Ovis aries: one gene and its partner. The protein of the gene in region 2 purifies or fractionates together with the protein of the main gene of each other region. This does not show direct contact. Links are inferred from orthologs where the notes say so. Each region holds a gene or a part of one and is shown on either strand. Other genes may lie near its edges.

Evidence for each region. Proteins that work in one complex are often made in the same cells at the same time.
Region 1: the proteins of CDK2 (region 2) and SPDYA purify together in Homo sapiens (affinity purification with western blotting; 7 studies listed by BioGRID). This does not show direct contact. The link is inferred for Ovis aries from reciprocal best matches to the Homo sapiens genes CDK2 and SPDYA.

The regions. Positions count from the first base shown.
Region 1 is NC_056056.1:35,729,575-35,733,585, forward strand, and holds the start of SPDYA (speedy protein A), read left to right. Parts: upstream 1-1,211; 5' UTR 1,212-4,011. UniProt on the Homo sapiens protein: Regulates the G1/S phase transition of the cell cycle by binding and activating CDK1 and CDK2.
Region 2 is NC_056056.1:163,556,693-163,560,693, reverse strand, and holds the start of CDK2 (cyclin-dependent kinase 2), read left to right. Parts: upstream 1-1,201; 5' UTR 1,202-1,322; coding exon 1,323-1,438; intron 1,439-2,160; coding exon 2,161-2,238; intron 2,239-2,355; coding exon 2,356-2,476; intron 2,477-3,124; coding exon 3,125-3,295; intron 3,296-3,746; coding exon 3,747-3,848; intron 3,849-4,001. Other genes in the region: melanocyte protein PMEL, read right to left, coding at 239-314. UniProt on the Homo sapiens protein: Serine/threonine-protein kinase involved in the control of the cell cycle; essential for meiosis, but dispensable for mitosis. Phosphorylates CABLES1, CTNNB1, CDK2AP2, ERCC6, NBN, USP37, p53/TP53, NPM1, CDK7, RB1, BRCA2, MYC, NPAT, EZH2.

The DNA of each region.
Region 1 (4,011 bases), about 130 Mb from region 2:
ACGTCCATCAAGTCGGTGATGCCATCCAGCCATCTCATCCTCTGTCGTCACGTTCCCTTCCTGCCCCCAATCCCTCCCAGCATCAGAGTCTTTTCCAATGAGTCAACTCTTTGCATGAAGTGGCCAAAGTATTGGAGTTTCAGCTTTAGTGTCAGTCTTTCCAAAGAAACCCAGGACTGATCTCCTTTAGGATGGACTGGTTGGATCTCCTTGCAGTCCAAGGGACTCTCAAGAGTCTTTTCCAACACCACAGTTCAAAAGCATCAATTCTTCGGCGCTCAGCTTTCTTCACAGTCCAACTCTCACATCCATACATGACTCCTGGAAAAACCATAGCCTTGACTAGACCTTTGTTGGCAAAGTAATGTCTCTCCTTTTGAATATGCTATCTAGGTTGGTCATAAATTGCCTTCCAAGGAATAAGCATCTTTTAATTTCATGGCTGCAGTCACCATCTGCAGTGATTTTGGAGCCCCCCAAAATCAAGTCTGACAGTTTCCACTGTTTCCCCATCTATTTGCCATGAAGTGATGGGACCTGATGCCATGATCTTAGTTTTCTGAATGTTGAACTTTAAGCCAACTTTTTCACTCTCCTCTTTCACTTGCATCAAGAGGCTTTTTAGTTTCTCTTCACTTTCTGCCAGAAGAGTGGTGTCATCTGCATATCTGAGGTTATTGATATTTCTCCCGGCAATCTTGATTCCAGCCTGTTTCTTCCAGCCCAGCGTTTCTCATGATGTACTCTGCATAGAAGTTAAATAAGCAGGGTGACAATATACAGCCTTGCCGTACTCCTTTTCCTGTTTGGAACCAGTCTATTGTTCCATGTCCTGACCTGCATACAGGTTTCTCAAGAGGCAGGTCAGGTGGTCTGGTATTCCCATCTCTTTCAGAATTTTCCACAGTTTATGATGATCCACACAGTCAAAGGATTTGGCATAGTCAACAAAGCAGAAATAGATGTTTTTCTGGAACTTTCTTGCTTTTTCGATGATCCAGAGGATGTCGGCAATTTGATCTCTGGTTCCTCTGCCTTTTCTAAAACCAGCTTGAACATCTGGAAGTTCACGGTCAAGCAAGGAAAAGTAACGGTAAAAGGTCGGCAGGCGTCGCGCGCAGCCTCGGGCTAGCCCCGCCTCAAGGGGCGGGCTCCGGGCGCTGATTGGACTGCGTTGGCCTCGCTCGGGTTGGCGGGAGGTCTCGAGGCCCGCGGTGCCGCGGTGGAGCGAACTGCGAGTAACCGTCTGAAGCGTAGGGCGTCTGTGAAAGGCTGGCAGCCGGTCCGGCCCTCGCTCACCAGGCTCAGGTTTCCGCAGGTACCCGCCGCTCGCTCTCCGGCTTAGGGCTTCGCCGGCGACTGTACAGTTTAGGTTGTGCCTGGCTCCTCCGTCCCGTCTTTCCTCCAACCCCGCCGGCCTAAATGTGTGAGGCTATGGCGGCGGCGTCTCGACCCCTTCTTCACACTTCCGCCCTTGAGTTTCCTCAGGTGCCGGTGGGGAGGCGGAGGCGTAGCGGTAGGACTGCGCAGAGCTGGGAGGAGCGGGGTGGAGGACGACGGTGCAGTAGAGAGAGGAGGCAGGGCGCTCCCCTCGGCCGTGTTTGTTGGAGTTTGCCACACTTTGCCCACCAGCTCAGCTGGTTGTGCCCACTAGTCGGCGGGGGAGAGGACAACGGAGACGTGTCCCCAAGGGCTCGTGCCCTCTCCTCAGCGGGCGCTTCCCCCTTCGGAAAGGAAGGCCTTTAGGAAAGAGCTCGCGCCTCGCCGCAGCCCGCCGGTCTTTTTACAGCTGAGCGCGGGATAGCAGTGTTTTTAATTCATCCTGCCTCTTGTGTCCCATTAAACGCATCTTTTTTTTCCAGGAGCATCTGCATCAGAATCCTGAGACCTGAGTTGCTGTATCTCAGGGCTATGCCCTTAGCCCATTTATCAAAATTTACAAATGTCCTTTCCTAGCATTTCCAGTACGACTGTAGGACAGCTAGCTTCAATTAAAACAAAACAAAACTTTAGAAGTAATTGAGAGCCTGTCTCTTTACAAACTTTATTCTTTGTCGTAAGCACATTAAAATATACCTATGGTGCCTGTTACCAATAAAGTCTTAACATTTAAATTACGTTTATTAGTTGAGGTGAAATTTGGTTATCTGTCATATTGGGACTCTCCTCCAAAGACACTTTCTGTTAAAAAAAAAAAAATACAATAATAGTGCTGCCATAGGTTGAGTTTTTGCCAAACATTCAGCACTGTGCATTATTCATATGGTTCCTTTCCTCATTAACCCTCCAAAATATGTATTATAACAATACCTGATAATAGGTAACTTTAAATGAATACTTACTATGTACCGGCTTCTAAAAAAAATAAGTGCTTTTATTATCTCAATATCACAAGCGAGAAAAGGGAGACTCCCAGAAGTTAAATAACCTAAGATCATATCACTGGTGAGAATCAGGTCTTAATCCAGGTCTCTTGTCCAGTATTTTAACATTTATTCTCAGCCAGTTCTGTCCCTTTGCCTTCAGTCATACTTTAAAATCCTGTCATATATAGTATGGAGAGTCCTTTAAAAATTAGGAATAAACCACCATATGACCCAGCAATCTCTTTCCTAGACATATACCCTGAGGAAACCAAAATTGAAAAAGACACATGTACCCCAGTGTTCATTTACAATAGCTAGAACATGGAAGCAACCTAAATGTCCATTGACAGATGAATGGATAAAGAAGTTGTGGTACATATACATAAGGGAATATTACTCAGCCATAAAAGGACTACATTTGAGTCAGTTCTAATGAGGTGGATGAACCTAGAGCTTATTATAAAGAATGAAGTCAGTCAGAAAGAGAAAGATAAATATCGTATACTAATGCATATATGGAATCTAGAAAGTGGTACCAAATAATTTATTTGCAGGGCAGCAATGGAGAAGCAGACATAGAGAACAGACTTAGGGACATAGGGAGAGGAGAGGAGAGGGTGAGATGTATAGAGAGAGTATCATGAACTTATATTATCATATGTAAAATAGCCAAAGGGAATTTGCTGTATGTCTCAGGAAACTCAAACAGGGACCTAGAGGGGTGAGAGGGGTGGGACGGGGAGGGAGATGGGAGAGAGGTTCAAGAAGGAGGGGATATATGTATACCTATGGCTGATTCATGCTGAGGTTTGACACAAAATTCTATAAAGTAATTATCCTTCAATTAATTTTTAAAAAATTATAAAATCCTGTCTTAAAAAAAGTTCTCATTTGACTTGCCATTCTCTTAGTATGTCTAAATGAAGAGCAAAAATTGAAGTTACCTAAAGTTGGATTTTGAACAAAAATGTATCATTGATAGCTTCTCTCCTTAAGCTCCTTCTCCATAACTCTTTTGCCAGTGTTTTCTTATTAATCTCAACGAATTGCCTCCTGTTTCTCTTTTCTCAATTTTTATATGAGGCAGAATAATGTAAAATGTGATCATTATTTTTTTGATAGAAAATTTGCATTCTGTTTCATCATATATCCCAGGTTGTTTTAATAAAGCAACACTTTTTAAGTTACTTAACATTAAGTAAAAATGACATCCTGGGAGAAGTTCCACCATTATTCTATTTTCTGGCACATCTGTCTCCCACTCCCTAAGCCTAGCCCTCACACCCCAATGTGAGAAGCGTGACTAGTTTTTTTCCATCTAGATTGTAAAGCTGCTCTTTCTTTTGGGGGAAAGAAGATACAGATGAGGATCTAGGAGGAGAGAGGAGTGGAGAGGAGGGAAGCAAAGTAGAGGAGAAGGAATTATATATAAAAGTAATTGAATATAACTTAGTCTGCCTAGTTCTTCATAATCTAGCCCTGTGCTGTCTAATATATGGGTAGCTACTAGCCATATGTGCTTATTAAACAGTTGAAATGTGGCAGGTGCAACTGAAGAATTTTTACTTTACAATTAAATATTAAAGGAATATAAAATATTTTTCCCTTACCTCCTAGATCATTGTTTTGGCAAGACTACATTTCA
Region 2 (4,001 bases):
TTCTCTCACCCGTCCAGGTAGATGGGGTTGTTTTCAGGTTCAGTCCCAAGTGCCTGAACACATATGCACCCAAATCTTCATGTGGGGAGGGAGCTCAGTTGCCCATGTCCTCACTAAATCAAATGGATGAGAAACACCTGAAGCACTGCTGCTATCTTCCACTTTAGGGAGAGAAAAACCAGAGCAGGTGTGTAACCCTAAACTCACACTTGTTCATGTCCACACATCCCACACTCACCTTCTGTGGCCCCTACAGCCAGAAGAACACCCATCAGAGCCACATGGAGAAGGTATTTTCTCAGCACCAGATCCATCCTGTTCTTCCTTCCAGCAACCAAAGACTCTGGGGCATTGGACAAACCCCTGTATAAGAAGGGGGTGCTTATTTGCATAGCCCTTCCTCCCCTCCCTCCAGGCAAATCCTGGGAGGAGCAGAAGGATCTGAGAGACAGAACAGAGGAGGGATCCTGGTCCCTGGACATCATGCTACTCATTGACAGTTTCTGGCTTCACAGGGTCAGTCTCATCTTAAAGTACTCCATCTCCCCTCGCGGGGAAAAAATGACTGAAGGGCAGCTACAAAACATAACACGTACCGGACGCACAGGGTTCATCATTGGAGAGTGGATCAATCTATTGTGAGTCAAACCAGGAACCTCTCAAAATAACTGTAGAAGCAGCGACCCTGGGTCCAAAAACAGACAGTATTGGGGTAGGCTGAGAGAAGTGGGACAACGACTCTTCGGAGCCCTAGGAAACCCTTACAATGAGATTTCCAGTTTCCTGCTTTCAGAGGAGGCTCCAGGGCGAGGTGGAATTTAATACATATTTTCCTTAGGGTGGTGAAAACGGTGATTAGAGATCAGGAAATCCCTATAGACTCAGGACACAGAGAGAAAACTCGATCCCAAATCAGATACTTGGAAAAAGGTGTTCAGCCTCCCCATCCAGATAAAAATTTATCCTTAATACTCCTCGGAACCAAAGTTACTCGGGGTGGGGTCGTTTGCAGCGAGGGACACAGGGCTGGCCCCGCCCTCTCTGACGTAGACCAATAGGAAGATCTGAGGGAGGAGCCAGGGAAACGCGGGAAGGAGAGGCGGGGCTTCTGGTGGCGGTAGGGAACTAGAGGGGGGAGGCGGCAATATTGTTTCAAGTTGGACAAATTGACAAGAGCGAGAGATACACTACGTTCCATCCCGACCTCGGGTCGCGGTGCTGGGCCCTGTTTCCCTCCTCGGCCCCCGAGAGCTGGGTGCCGTTTTTTGCAGGTTCCCAGGCCCCAGCTCCAGGGCCGGGCTGACCCGACTCGCTAGCGCTTCATGGAGAACTTCCAAAAAGTGGAAAAGATCGGAGAGGGCACGTACGGAGTTGTGTACAAAGCCAAAAACAAGTTGACGGGAGAAGTGGTGGCGCTTAAAAAAATCCGCCTGGACACGTGAGTGGCCTCTGTACCCGGGAGTCCTGACTCGGGAGCTCCTTGAGTGCCCCCCACCCCCACCGCAACAGGCGGGTAGCCTTCCAGGGACCGGAAGGTAGCAGGGAGGGAAGTCTTTTGAAGTGGAGAGGTGGGTTGAAGGACGAGTAGAGGGTTTCCCGGTGGAGACTATAGGATAGTGTAGAATCCATGGGAAATTTCCTCCCCAGAGGCGGGCGATGTCCCCAAATGTACAGTCAGAAAGTGTCAGGAAGAGGAAGGAGCCTTTTGAGATGGGATCCAGGACTCCCCGACGAGGAGATGGGTTTTGTGATAAGTGGTAAAGAGCACCCTTATAAATGACTAGACCAGCCCTCAGTGCCCCAACCCCACCCGCATCTTAGAATTCTCTCTTTCAAAAGAATGGCAGTTGAACCTTACTGGCACCTCTAGAGAGGCTGGGTGTTGTTACTTCCACACACACACACTTTTCCCCCTTTTAACTTCACCAAGAGGCTTTGCTAACCCAGCCCTGGGCAAAGAAGATATGATGATCTTAATGGGTCTAAAAAGACACTCCTGTCCATCCATGATTTAACCACTGAAGCACCCTTTCTCTCACTTAATTAGGGGATGCTGGGTTGGTGGGGGCTGTGGGTGGGGTGGGGGGAATGACTGTACTGCTGAGGGAAAAGAAATATTTGTAACCACATTCCCATCTCTGCTTTCTCAACTTCTCCAAGTGAGACAGAGGGTGTACCCAGTACTGCCATACGAGAGATCTCTCTGCTTAAGGAGCTTAATCACCCTAATATTGTCAAGTAAGTATGTATCTGGGAGGTGGGAGGTGCTCTGACAGTAAAGGAGAATGTCTTCTGTTTGTATTGTCTGGGCCTTTCTCTCCCTCACGTGTATTCCTGGACCTCCCCCTTCCCTAGGCTGCTGGATGTCATTCACACAGAAAACAAACTCTACCTTGTTTTTGAGTTTCTGCACCAGGATCTCAAGAAATTCATGGATGCCTCTGCACTCACTGGCATTCCTCTTCCGCTCATAAAGGTACTCCTTCTCATCAACTCCTCCCCAACATGGGCATGTTTTGGGAGTCCGGACTGAAAGCAGGCAATCCGGACTGAGTGTTGATTTATCTTGGTTTCCTTCCCAGCCCTCACCCCCCTACACACACACACGCACACACCTTTTCTTGTGGCTCTTTCACTGCTCATTATGCTTTTAACCCTAGGGCTGGGCAGGGGAATCAAAGAAGTTGAAACTCTAGTAAGTCAACTTAGCAGCTCAGGTGGAAGGTTCTTGAGATGAAACTCGGATAAATGGGACTGGGGGGTACTTGGTAGATGCCTCCAGAAAGCCCTTCCACCTGTTTGGTGGGAGAAATAGCCAGTGAGTCTCTGTTGTCCATTTTTCTGGGTTCCTTACTCCGGAAGCTACTTTCGATCAACCAACAAACATCCAACACACATTTATTGAACACTTTCAATGTGCTGGTCCACGCTATGGAACATAAATGCAAAACTGAATGAGACCTGATCTTATCCTCAATGGGTTGACAGTCCAACTGGAGAAATAGCTTGAAAACATAATTACAATTTAACTAGTAAAGGCTTTAGTAGAACTTTGGAGTTACAGAGGAGACCCTAATCTGCTCACGGTGGTGGAAAAACAGAGTCTTTTCTTTCCCCTTGTCAGAGCTACTTGTTCCAGCTGCTCCAGGGCCTAGCTTTCTGCCACTCTCATCGGGTCCTGCACCGAGACCTTAAACCTCAGAATCTGCTTATCAACGCAGATGGGTCCATCAAGCTAGCAGACTTCGGACTAGCCAGAGCTTTTGGGGTCCCTGTTCGTACTTATACCCACGAGGTGAGTCCTCCTCTGCATGTCTTCTCTGAACTTCCTGGGAGGTGTTAACAAGGACATTCATAGAGTTTTTAGTAACGATCTGGCCAGCAGTTTCTCACTAGATGGAAAGTATTTCTGACACCACAAGAGGTCTTAGAGTATGCACAGAATTCATATATTGATAGATACCGAGCCAGGAGACAGGTGGAAGGCATGAAATTTAAAATTATGACCATTTGCCTCAAGTTTTCCAAGAAGGTTGCAAATTGAGGGTTCAGAATATATGTTCCCCAGAACCATGGATTAGGCTAACTCTGGGCTAAGAAGTTGTACCCAGTTATTTTACTTAGGGGCAATGAGAGTAAAGGGAAGGATGGAGGGATAGAAGTTGCTTGTGAAGAAATTGAGTTAGCAGAATAGTGTTTAGAAACTGACGTGTGGATATCTTCATGTCCTGTACTCTTTTCCTCAGGTGGTGACTCTGTGGTACCGAGCACCGGAAATCCTTCTGGGCTGCAAATACTACTCCACAGCAGTGGACATATGGAGCCTCGGTTGCATCTTTGCTGAGATGGTATGGAGGCATGCCCATGGTCTACTCAGCCCACTCCTTCCCACACTCAAGAACAACAGAACTGTTTCTTGGCCCAGACCCATGGTCCTTCTCTTATCACAGGGTTCTTCCTTTAGAGTAGCACAAAGGGGGTCATGGAGAAAGGAGAGGGCT